Rattus norvegicus: one gene and its partners. The protein of the gene in region 3 interacts with the protein of the main gene of each other region in a biochemical or structural test. Links are inferred from orthologs where the notes say so. Each region holds a gene or a part of one and is shown on either strand. Other genes may lie near its edges.

Region 1 (4,040 bases), on a different chromosome or scaffold from region 3:
TCAGAATTTGTGATATCCTGGCCTAAGGAATAATTATAAAGTAAATACACATATGTATTTATATACATGTGCAGTATCCATGAATATTTACATATAGTATTTTATAATCTTAGATTAGTGAATTGCAAATTCGTTACTTTATTTGTGACGGGGCAAGACAGTGCAGAGGTTCCTGTATCTTCTGGTCTTGATGAGGGCATTTCAGGTTTAATTGGAATTTGATCTCCTTGATGGACAATCCATGGAAAATTACCAAAACATGTTCTAGGACCCCAAGGTCAAGGTGCCCTAGGGAGTTTATCTTAGCATCTGTTAAACTGCCTCCTCTGGTGAAACCCAACTGAAGCTTCAAAAATCCAGTGTTCTGGACACACATACTCGGGTTACAATTGGGTCCCAAATGCCTGAGAGTAGTTCCAGTTGACTGGAATACAGACTTTCAATTGACTATAGACTGTATCAGAGTGGTTATCCTTGGGAGCCTTCCTGTAAGCAAAGCCTCAGTGCTGTCTTAAGTGAAGCAAGAGGCTGAGACCTGAGGGATTTGCTTCTGAGGAGAAAGGCAATCCTGGAAGGAAAAGAGCCAGAAAAGGAGTGCACAAATTCTGCCACTCACCTTGTGGTGAACCCCTCTAGCGTGAAGGTAGAAGGGAACCTGACAGAAGCTCAGTCAGAGGATAACTGTCCAAAGGTGCAGAGCATATATGCACAGTAACTTCCTATGTGCATGGAGAACCAGAGGTCCTCCACAGTGGGGGTGCCTGACAAACACTCCTTGGTGAGGAGGCCAGCAGGAAAGGGGACACTGAGAATGGCCCATTCTTCTGTGGGCTCCCACCTGAAATCCTACAACCCCAGTCTAATCTCCAAGAAGAACATCAGATAAAAAACGGCTGATAAGCATTGCAAAAATGCCTGGTCACAACTCAAAACCTCAAGGTCACTAAAGCAACACATGTCTGAAATATGATCTGAGTCTAGAAGAACCCAAGGGGATGCAATAATTAAACACAGTGTGTTATTCCAGATGAGAGATGGGAAAATACAAAGACAGAAAAAGGTGAGGAAATACAAATAAAGATAGGACCTCAGTAAAAATGAACAAACAGTACATCCGTAATAATGATTAAGTTATTAAAAATAACACTGGAGACAAGACCTAAGGAGATGGCTCGGGGGTAAATGGCTACTTTTACAGAAGATCAGAGTTCAAATCCTAGTACACATGGGACATCTCAAAAAGTCCCCAACTCCACCTCCAAGGGATCTGAGGTCCTCTCTGACAGAGACTATGGAGAGGACAGAGACTGTGGAGAGGACAGCATCTGAGGAGAGGTCAGTATCTGTAAAGAGGACAGAGTATGTGGGGAGGACAGAATCTGTGGGGAAGGCAGAGTCTGTGGAGAGGACAATGTCTGTGGAGAGGACAGCGTGTGTGGAGAGGATAGTGTGTGTGGAGAGGACAGTGTCTGTTGAGAGGACAGTGTCTGACAAGAGAACAGAGAATGTGGAGAGGACAGTGTCTGTGAGGAGGGCAGAGTCTGTGGAGAGGACAGTGTGTGTGGAGAGGGCAGTGTCTGTGGAGAGGACAGTGTCTGACAAGAGAACAGAGAATGTGGAGAGGACAGTGTCTGTGAGGAGGGCAGAGTCTGTGGAGAGGACAGTGTGTGTGGAGAGGGCAGTGTCTGTGGAGAGGACAGTGTCTGACAAGAGAACAGAGAATGTGGAGAGGACAGTGTCTGCAAAGAGGGCAACATCTGTGGAGAGGGCAGCGTCTGTGCAGAGGACAGTGCCTGTGGACAGGATAGCATTTGCTGAGAGCAGATATACAGGAGGCGAAAATGAGTGGAGAGTAGGAGATATACTAGGGTTTGATTAGCTGATATCCAATGAACCTTTATGTGTTGTCACCACTTGGAAATTCAAGAGAGCTTGTAAGTCACATGTCCTGCCTTCCCATTCCTCCCTGGTCCAGTTAGAAGTGCTTTGAACCTCATGTGGCTATATTCATGTCTCCTCATGCTCTCAGCTTCCCAGGCTGGAGACAGACCACAGATTAGGACTCTGAACCCCTCTGGTAGGTGAGAGAGTTAGTGTCCCAGGAAAGAGCAGCCCCTAGAATTTCACCATGGCTCTAACACTTCTTTATGTCCACCTGACTATGCACTGGCCTCCCTTTCTCCCTTGGCTTTCTAATTTTCCTCATTTCTGGGATGAATTCCTCCATTTCCTTCCTTAATCTCTGACTAGCACTATGAGAGATGAAGAATGGGAGGTAGGGAATGCAATTAAGAATGTATCTAACAAGAGGCCGATGCCATGGCTGTAATCCTGGCCTCAGGAACTGCTTCCTGGACTTGACATTTACCTCTGCCCTCCTTGTGACCTCTGTAACTGTGGTTCACAGTTACTCTCCTTCCATCAATCTTAAGTCAAGTAGGAAATAATAATAGTAATTACTTCATACAGTGGTCATGATAATTAAAGAAATTAATACAAGGAAAGTACAATTCTGTAAATTTTAATCATTATTTACTTTTACTAGAATCCCACCATGTCTTAGAAGTAATTGTGTTTCCACGTCGAATATGCAGTACTGATGTTTGGATAACTGTAGCCATTTCTTCTCCCGGAGTTCCATGCACTATGCTGTGGAGTGCCTAGCAATTGATCTCAAGTGATGGTGGTGTCCTGATAGCGCTATCTTTGGCTCAGATACAGCTTTCTATTTTCGAAGTGCTTGTACGGACATTATCTCAGTTAATCTTCACAGGAGCATGGCGAGATAATTGGGACAGCATTTACTATTCCCACCTACAAGATGAGTAAAGAGGAAGAGGGGCTTGCTTACTATTTACAAGGAGGGCAGAAACAGGCATCCCAGGGCTCCCAATCTCTTGCTTTTGCAAGCTTAACTTTTACACTGAACTGTTAGCCCTGGCCACAGAGGACGAAGGAGAGAGAGTAGCTCTTCCACCTCCAAAGGCTCATGTACCCTCCCAATAAATCCAGTATGCCTAAAACCATGTTCATGGTTGGTATGTTCAGAGACCTCTCCCTCTTGTCTGGTGTCTGTGTGCACCACTGCAGGTTGACCAAGAGAACAATTTATACTGTTAGTTATGGAGAAGTCTCAATAGCCTACAGCAGAGTTCTTTACCTTTACAGTAAGGTTAAGATTGGCATTAGAGAGAGTCATTTTCTCTCAGACTATTTTGTGTTATTTGGGTTGGGTTATTCTGAATTCAAACAGAAAAACAGGGGATCAGTGAATTACCACTATCATCTTCAGACAGTCTCAGACAGACCAGAACTAAGGCTACTGTTAATAATAATAATAATAATAATAATAATAATAATAATAATAATAATAAATAATTGTGATATTTTATCCAGGAAGCAAAACTCTTGGCAAAGTTCCTTTCCTTACCTAGCCTGCCTTTGCTCCACCTTCCACCCTCTTTCGTGTACCCATCCTTTCTCTTCCCCTATCCTCGCTCTCGATCGTCTACTGTACATCCTTCCACCCATCATCTGTTCATCTATACATCTTCTACCTTCCACGCTCCACCTCCCATCTCCTACCCTGCACCTACTCACCCTCCGTCCACACATCTGTCCTCTCCCCATACAGCAAATCACTCACTCACTCATCGGAACTCTTAGCCACTGAGGAATAACATCGCAAACATAACAAAGAAGGTATTCAGATACTTTTTATGGCAAATTATCTCTGATTGGTAGGACAATTTAAAAGCAATTAGTTCTACTAATCATGTCAAAAGGAAAGCATTTTCTACAAACTGCTACAGTCAAATATATAGTTCCAAGGCTTTGATATAATACCTAAAGTAAGATAAACTTAGTTACAAGTTTATTATATAAATATAATATACTTACATATAAATATAAAATATAAAAATACGTAAATATTAGTATTATTTAACAAATGTGTGTTAAATGTATAGTATTTCATTTTTCCCAATATTTTCTAAATATATCAGATTTAATCAAGACTTCTAAATGCTAGGCTAGCATAC
Region 2 (4,110 bases), on a different chromosome or scaffold from region 3:
AACCCAGGCAGAGAAATAATATTAAAATGATCAACACAGAATGAGCAGTCTACCCCTCAAGCCTTGTGAGAAAATCCCCAACACACACACACACACACACACACACACACACACACACACACACACACACACACCCCTCAGCTTTTGTATCAACTCATATCTTGATTCTTTCTTCTGCTACAGTTCCCCCACCCCAAGCTGCCAAACTTCGAGCTCAGAGAGGAACAAAAATCTCTTTAATTTTGATAGCAAAAGTCGAGGCTGTTCAAGATTCAAGCAAGGTAGAGTGAAGTCTGCCCTCAAATCACTTTAGGAGACTGCAAGCAGCCAGAAGTCTCCAGACAGGCACATCCAGGAGTCACTGGTATGCTCCATTTATCAGAAGGGACTCTCTAGCTTCAGGTGAGCACTTCTGCTACTTGAGCACAAAGTTCCCTCTCCTAGAGATCATGCAGGTCCTCTGCTGACCTGGCCATCATCAGCAGTTCCCTCATAAAACTCCTAACCTTAGGGATAGCATGTGAACAAGCGTCACTTCTTAGACTTCGGCAGCCAACCCTGCAGGGACCATCTTGCACAATTAAGGGAAGGGGTTGGCAGGATCTGGCTACCATCAAACAGGGAGCAAGCCCTAGGATAGGAAAGTCACACCCAAACTGACTCAAGGCAAGAACTTGAGTATAAGGAAAGGAAACAGAGGTTGAGAAAGGCTTGTGAGGAGGGGAAACTGAATGAGGAAACGAAAGAAAAAGAAGCATAAGGACACCTTATCACAGAGTCCACTGAACTCAATTTCTAATCCTCAAAACTATCCATTTCGACCCAGTGCAGCAAGGAAGCATGGAAACAGAGGCTGCAGGGACCAAAGGCAGAGCACTGCGGTTGGACCTACTGCTCATCAGCCCTAGGTCCGCCTTCCTCCTGTTTTTGAACCCAGGGCATGAGACCTGCATAACCCTCTTTAGCACACCCACTGTTCCTGGGCAAAGCAGGTTCAGTTTCCCAGCTCGGAGGCTGGGATTCTGGGTGTGGGGCTGCATGAGTGAGGGAGGGGGACTAGTGCGCAGGGAGCAGTCTGTGAAAGCGATTTTATTTCGCAGTTAGCATGAGCTCATCCCCAGCTGAGGTCTGAAGTGGCAGCGGAAAGCTAGCTGATCGCCCAGCTCCTGCCACTGGCCGGACTGCAAATGCAATTTAGGCGGTGCACAAAATTGCCAGGAGGAAACCAACTCAGGGGGATCACGTCAGCAGGCGGGGTCTCCCCAGTGGGGCGGGTACCCCATGCCTCTGATGGAGACCCGCTACAGGTCGGAAATTCAACCCCAAAGACACGGGCAATTATCATCCACATGCGGGTAAACGGGTAAACCCCAACCCTCATTCGAAGAAGGGGCTTCTTGAGGTCTTCGAGAATATTTCCATGAAGTCGAGGTTTCCTAAATGGCTTAGGCATGGGAAGCTGGGGAGTTGAGCAATGCCATTTTCAAAGCATCTTCTAATTTTTCATATTCCTGGTGCCTAACCTGCTCCCCTAGGAGCCCAGGCACTTTTTCAAGCCTGTTTCCGAACCATATTTCACTCTAATGCAAACCATTTAAATCATCGCCTTGTTTTTCCGAAGATTGCTTCTTGTAAATGGGACCACAAATCCGGGGAGTCATGCCGTATGGAGTGGAGCGTGGACAGGGGAAAACATAAAAGAGGAGTAAACTAAGCAAGGAAGATACCTCCTTGGGTGGGGTGGGAGGGATTCAGCAGGATATCCAGGGTAGAAATGTCGGAGTGCTGGCCTGACCCCTGCAACCCAAGAAGTCCAAAACAGCTTTTAAGGTTAGAGCGCAGGGAGCCACAGAATGCTCCTCCCCAAAGGGAGCGCCCCCCTACCTGAAAAAGCCTCAAGATGTTGGCTACCATGATGGAGACGGAGCTCCCCGAAGCCCCAATCACTCCAACTACTTTCTCTGGCTTGACGAAAACCGGGGGCTCTCCGTTGGTGCAACGCACGTCGGAGGTGTCCTTCTGGATAAGCGCCTGGACGAAAGTGAGCGACTGTTCGAGCGCATAAGTGTCCCTGGAACAAGTGTCCAGGATCCGCGCGCCTAACGTTACATTGGGCAGCAGGTTGGGATCGCTGTTGATCTGGTCCAGGGCATAAAGCATAGCTTCCAGCCTGTGGATCCCATTCTCCCTCTTGATGTCGCCGCAGGGCACTCCGCTGGGACCCTTGGCGTGCACTGGGAACAACCCCCCAAGGGTGACGTCCCCCTCGATCCGGATCGAGTGCGGGGCGTACATCTCCTGGCCGCGCGCCGCCGCCGCCAGCACGCACAGGAGCACCTCCAGCACGCAGCAGGGGAACTTCATCAAAGTCAGGACGCGGAGCAGCTTCCCCAGCTGGACCATGCCGCTCCGGATGCTGCTGCGGTAGCGGCGGCGGCGGCGCTGGAGGGTATGCTGGTGGGCTCTCCCAGGTCCGGGCTTCTGGAGGTGAGCTCCTTTGGGGGAAGCCCAGGGACTTCTGTAGGCACAGAGGGTGGAGGAGACCGAGGAGGTGCAGCAGGAGAGGGTGGGGGTGTCCCAGGGCGTCAGCCAGTCTTTGGCACCTGGCACTGTGGCTCCGCTGGCCGGCGCACCAGCTTGCGCTCCCCGTTCCCTGGCTTGCCTCTTGCGCTCTCCAACAGCCAAGCACTGGGGAGAGGGCAGGGATTGCTATCGCTTTAAATGGTCGTTGGGCTCCCTCTCCTCCTCCTCCTCCTCCCACTCCCTCTCTCCCTCCCTTGCTTGCTATCCATCTCTCCCCACCCTTCCCAGCAGCCCGCCCTCCCCACCGGTTTGCATCATCACGCAGGGAGGGGCTGCGTGCTGAGGTAAGGGGGGCGGGTGGAGGAATGGGTGGGTGGCCCGGGAGCCCGGAGGTTGCCTCTTCAGGGGAGTTTCGTAGTCCCCAGGGAATCTATGGATTTCAGGGCTAAGCTCTCTTCCCCAACTCTGGGACTGAAACCTCAGGTCCACCAACACCCACGCCCATGTTCTAGCAACTGCAGACATCCACTTGGGATGAGCCGGGATGTTAGTGCTGACTGATCGGGAACCCCTGAGTCTGATCCTTGACTGTGGGTGCTAGCAGAAAGATAGGGAGTCCAGAAGTGGAGCAGCCGTGAAAGGGGGCGGGAGGAGAGGGGATTTCAGTTTCTAAAGCTAGCCCTCTTGTGCTAGCTATGCTCAGAAAAATACAGGACATTCTGGAACCCCCGACTCTTGACTAAAGTCCTTAACCAGCGGTTTCTCTTGTATTAGGCACCCTCTGTCTTGGAGGGAAGCTGAAGCCAAGAGGAAATATAAGGTGGCACCCCACTGTCCATCTTCCTAAGGACCAAGTCTAGTCAAACTAACCACATTCTTCAGCAGGTCTTCAGAAGAAACCTCAGATTTAGTCAGTGCCTTTTCTTTCTTTTGCAGCAAGAGAAGAAACTAAGAACTCCAGCACTTTCCTCCATAGCTTTGACAGGTGTATGGCTCCCTCCTACCTATTTTCAGAGATACTCCTGAGTTGGTGACAGTTTTTCTTTGCAGTCAAGAAACAGCAGGAACGGGGTGAGGGCATTAGGAAGAAAAAGTAGCTGGAGAGGTTTCTTCAAAGATGAGGATTGTATTTTTTTTTCTTTTACTGCCATGGGATTTGGTGAACAAAGGCAGAATGCTCAGGAAGTTCCACTGCAGAAGGGAAAGTGTCCCCGCTGAAACTTAGCTCATTAATGCAACAAGTATCCTTAGCCTTGATACAGGGAAGTTTAAATTTTCTCTGGGACCTTCACTCAACTTTTTGTGATGTTTTTCTGTTCCAATGTATAAAAAGCTATATTGTACTGATGTGAGAGTGGTGGAGAGAAAGTCAAAAACAAGAATATGCTTCCTGGTGTTGATGGGAAAACTATTACTGGATATAATATATAGTTCTGTCATATTACCTCCACCACCAACTACCTGTGTGTCCTTGGCATTTTGGTGCCCTGCCTGAGTTTTAGTTTTCCATCTGGAAAACGATGAGACTGAGTTGCATGTCTTCCAAGTTGTCTTTTAACTATAATCCTTTGTTAAAATAGGCCATGT
Region 3 (4,243 bases):
CTCCTGTAGCTCCATAGAGGTTTTCAATATTTAATTTTATAATTTCATGTCTATGTATGTAATGTATATGAGTAAACATTTGTGCACTGTATGCATGCAGGGGCAGGAGGCCAAAGAGGGCATCAGATCCCATGGAACTTGACTTACAGGTGGTTGTGAACTGTCTGATGTGGATGCTGGGAATCAAACCTGGGTTACCTATTTTTAAATCCTCACTTACCACATAAGCAAACTGAGGCCCAGAGTGATTAAGAAACTCACTGGTACTCAGGGCCATTCACATACAAACCTTGGGCTACTACTCTGCTTGTCTGTTTGCTGAGACAGGGTCTCTAGCAGCCCACATTGGTATCAAACTCACTGTGTAGCCCAGCAGGTCTCTGAATTGCTGACCTTCCCCGCTGCCACCTCCCAAGTGTAGAGACTGCAGGTGTGATGCTACCACACCCAACAGAGACATTGTTATCTCACAGCCTTCCCCCTTCAGCAAACAAAACTCATTTGAGACATTTTTACTGAGTATGTTACACACCAGGCAGTAACCAGCACTAACTTCAGTGTGAGGCCGACAAGCGTCTGCCAGGTAGCAAGATCAGAACAAGCTGGGAGGGAAGAACAGGTAGAAAAGGAAGTGGGGACCATCCCCACTCAAGAGCACCGGGCAGTGTTGCTAAGACCAGACCTCAGGCAGGGCAGGTAAGATGGCTTGGCGGGGTAAAGTGTCGACCGTGCAAGCCCGATGGCCTGATTTCAAATGGGGGGTCTCACAGGAGGAAACTGACTTTTGAGGGCTGTCCTCTGACCAGTGTGTGACTGATAAGAGTGAGCCCACACTCACATATACACACTCATATACACACATCAAGCACACGCATGCAAATGCAATCGTAAAATTTTAAAGAAACAAGATCGACCTTTATCTGTTGGCAAATGCAGGTATGTGTCTGTGTGCATTTATGTATGCAAATGTACGTATATACTATGTATGTATGCACATGCATACTATGTATGCATGTATGTATGCATATGTGTGTGCAGGACAGCCACTCTTTGCTTTCATTCCTCAGGTACTAACCACCTTTTTGTTGGGCGGCAGGGGTGTGCGCAGGAAATCTGTCACCTCAAACTCACCTATTAAGTTAGGTGGCCTAGGGCCACCTGTGGCCACCTCCCCAGTACTATGGTTACAAGAAAGAACACCCAGCTCATCAGTGTTTTACGCAGGTGCCTGGACGTGAACCCCGCTACTCAAGTTTACATGGCAAGCACTTTACTGACTCAGCCCTCTCCCAGCCTCTGGAGCTAGTGTTTTTTCGGAGTGGAGAAATGAACCTCTTTCTGACATGCTCACGAAGGGAGGTGCGACACTCCACCCAGGACCTTACCCTGACCTCCAACGTATGTTTCATACCTGGACAATGTAGAGACAAGGACAGTACTGGGCCCCTCCTCCGATGCTGATGCCAATCAGGTTCTGAGCATCCTTCTGCAGGGTGACCTTCCCGGGCACAGTGGGGATTCCTCTGGGAAGAGAAGCAAGTGACAGTGAATTCTGGTCAAACGCTGACTGGAAGGAGCAGGGTCCCATGTCCAGAAAAGCTCCAACAACCTATATAAAGTAGCCTCTTCCTTTCTCATCCAGAAAGAGCAATTTGTACCAGAACTGCTCAAGAGTCAGTGGTGGGGTCAAAGCCAGGGTTGCCAAAAATCTGCAGTGAGACTAAACTCCAAGGAAACTTTTTGTAACCTTTCTCAGGTACTTGCAGGACATGACAACCCCCTTCCTTTAGAAGGTTACTCAACTATCTTCCAGCCATCTTCCTGCTCAGACACCCCAGCACTCACAATACAACTTAGGCTGTCTTGTGGTGAACAGGTTCAGATGTCAGCTTGGTTACTGAAGACCAATTTCCTAACAACCAACGGCTACCCACCTCTTATTAAGGACTAACGACACACAAGGCCAGGAGATGGCTCATTCTTTCTAAGGGTCAGACAAATATGATTTCTGATTACTAATCACCTGTGCTGGGAGGAAGGTCTGATGGTGGCATTCCATGCAGCTTTTGCAACCTGGCTCTGTTACCTGCTTTGGAACACCTTCCCAGACCACCCTAGCATTACCTGGATAATGCCTTCAGGGTTCACATGGCCCAAGTCGTGTTATCTGTTAACCTGTCACAACCCCCTACAAGTGATCTACTACTGGGATGTCTGGGACCATTTCTACTCCCGTACACTAAAAAGAAAGAATGTGTGGAGCCAGGGCACCCAAGGACACGAGGGAACTGGGTCCTCAGTTCTCAGGTCTTGGGAAAGAATATACTCACAATTTATCCTCCTCGATGTCATAGTCTAAGTCTGCAAACATGGTTCCGAGAGCTGGGGCCGACTGGCTAACTGCCCAGTTCGGGAGGGGAATAGGAAACTGGGTCTGACGGAGAAAAGAGCACAGGGCTTCAGGGAACTGAAATGCCCAGATGCCAGCCCCAAGCTCCCACCCCTCCCCCACCCGGACAGCCGGCCTCTGGTCCCCTCCCCTCTAGACTGGGAGAGGGAGCCTCAGGCTGGAAGGGCGCGGCGTGGGGGTGTGGGGGTAGGTGATTCTTACTTGGTACAGGGGAGGACCCCAGGCCAGGGCGATGGGCTCGGATTCTGGAGCCCGCCCCACGGTCTCCAGACCCTTGGGAGCCGCTTCAGTCGCTCACCGAGAGAGTCCGTCCCACAGCCAGGCCCGGGCCAGGCTGGCACCTGAACCCACCTGCCGTTCCACCTGGCGGCGACCGCGACTGTCGCGTCACTTCCGGTTGGACGCGGAAGTCCCGCCTCTCCCCTTGGGTATTTGCCCCAATCCCTGCGGGCACCCCTTCTGTCTCTGCTCCGGGACTCTCTGAACCAGGAAAAAGAACAAGTGTTGATGGAAGCTCGCCGTTAGTATGAAAAAAAGGAAAAGGAGGAAAAGGTTTAGACATGCTGGCGGCTCCGGACCCCGCCCTTGTCGTTGCCGCCATCTTGGAGAGGACAGAGCTCTTCCCAGCTTCCTTAGCGACACTCTGGGGACCACTTAGCCGGGCGGTTGCCGGGGCAACGGAAGCATCCTGGGGCTAGTGAAAGTTCAGTGAATTGCAAACCTCAAGACCTTGGTTTTCATATTTTCAATACCGCTTCCTAAGAAAAACCTGTGTCTCCTCCACTACAAAGCTTTAGTTAGTGCTGTAAGGTTCCCGCTAAATCCCAGTCTCACAAAGAAAGAAATTAAGTATCTGAGAAAGGGAGTAACTTTTTTCAGACATAATAACAGTTGGTGTAAGATCCAGATCTTGGCCCTGAGACCCCTTCCGCCAGTCTGGGATCTTTGAACATCTGCGCTAAATTCGGAGCTGTGAATTTTGCCTCTTTCAGATTTGACGTCTTTCCCCCACAAACATTACCATCCAGTAAAAGTTTTTTTGGCAAAGAATCTCTCACACCAAACCTCCTTCCTTAGTCCCAAGGGCCCTGGAGTTCTATTGAAGATACGGCCCCATGTTCCTGAGGCTCAACAAACACCATCAGTGCTTCCCAGCTCGGGAGCTCCAATCTTATCTTCTTACCAACTTCCGGTGCCAATGATTATGTCCAATGGGTTCACTGCAAGAGAATGACCCTCCAGGGACCACGGTGCTAGCAACCACCTCATCTAGGCAGAGTGGGACCGGTGTCCTTCCTCAGCTGGGGGCGGAGTGTGGAGGAGGCACGGAGGCCCCTGGTGCTCATAGATAATCACTAGGGGAACCAGGAATGCTAATCACAGGATTGTCACTTAATGATAAGATATATAACCCGTTTTCTGCCTAGAAGGCTGGGAACAGATGTGGTTAATAGCTGGGTAATAGCTCTGTCTGCATGGTCAAGACCACACTGTATACTTCCCCAACCCTTATCTTGACCTACTTTTCCCAGTAAATCTGTAGACCAAATCTTTATGGAAGATACCACTTGTACTTTACAAAGAGTTTCAATGTAGTCGTGTCTTGAGCTTTGATGTGCACACTATCAAGTTAATTATCACCAGGAAACTTTTTTTATTCATTTATTATATATAAGTACACTGTAGCTGTCTTCAGATACACCAGAAGAGGGCATCGGATCTCTTTACAGATGGTTGTGAGCCACCATGTGGTTGCTGGGAATTGAACTCAGGACCTCTGGAAGAGTAGTTGGGTGCTCTTAACCGCTGAGCCACCTCTCCAGCCCACCAGGA

What was found. The genes of interacting proteins can lie anywhere in the genome.
Region 1: the proteins of Pick1 (region 3) and Prkn form a complex in vitro, tested with the Homo sapiens proteins (3 studies listed by BioGRID and IntAct, with this or other methods). The link is inferred for Rattus norvegicus from reciprocal best matches to the Homo sapiens genes PICK1 and PRKN.
Region 2: the proteins of Pick1 (region 3) and Grm7 form a complex in vitro, tested with the Homo sapiens proteins (2 studies listed by BioGRID, with this or other methods). The link is inferred for Rattus norvegicus from reciprocal best matches to the Homo sapiens genes PICK1 and GRM7.

What each region holds. Positions count from the first base shown.
Region 1 is NC_086019.1:52,212,932-52,216,971, forward strand, and holds the start of Prkn (E3 ubiquitin-protein ligase parkin), read right to left. Parts: upstream 2,801-4,040; 5' UTR 2,642-2,800; coding exon 2,554-2,641; intron 1-2,553. UniProt on the Homo sapiens protein: Functions within a multiprotein E3 ubiquitin ligase complex, catalyzing the covalent attachment of ubiquitin moieties onto substrate proteins. Substrates include SYT11 and VDAC1.
Region 2 is NC_086022.1:145,285,416-145,289,525, reverse strand, and holds the start of Grm7 (metabotropic glutamate receptor 7 precursor), read right to left. Parts: upstream 2,801-4,110; 5' UTR 2,404-2,800; coding exon 1,885-2,403; intron 1-1,884. UniProt on the Homo sapiens protein: G-protein coupled receptor activated by glutamate that regulates axon outgrowth through the MAPK-cAMP-PKA signaling pathway during neuronal development.
Region 3 is NC_086025.1:112,676,102-112,680,344, reverse strand, and holds the start of Pick1 (PRKCA-binding protein), read right to left. Parts: upstream 2,801-4,243; 5' UTR 2,612-2,800; exon of another isoform or gene 2,435-2,611; 5' UTR 2,372-2,434; coding exon 2,331-2,371; exon of another isoform or gene 1,524-2,330; coding exon 1,412-1,523; exon of another isoform or gene 1,225-1,411; intron 697-1,224; exon of another isoform or gene 406-696; intron 1-405. UniProt on the Homo sapiens protein: Probable adapter protein that bind to and organize the subcellular localization of a variety of membrane proteins containing some PDZ recognition sequence.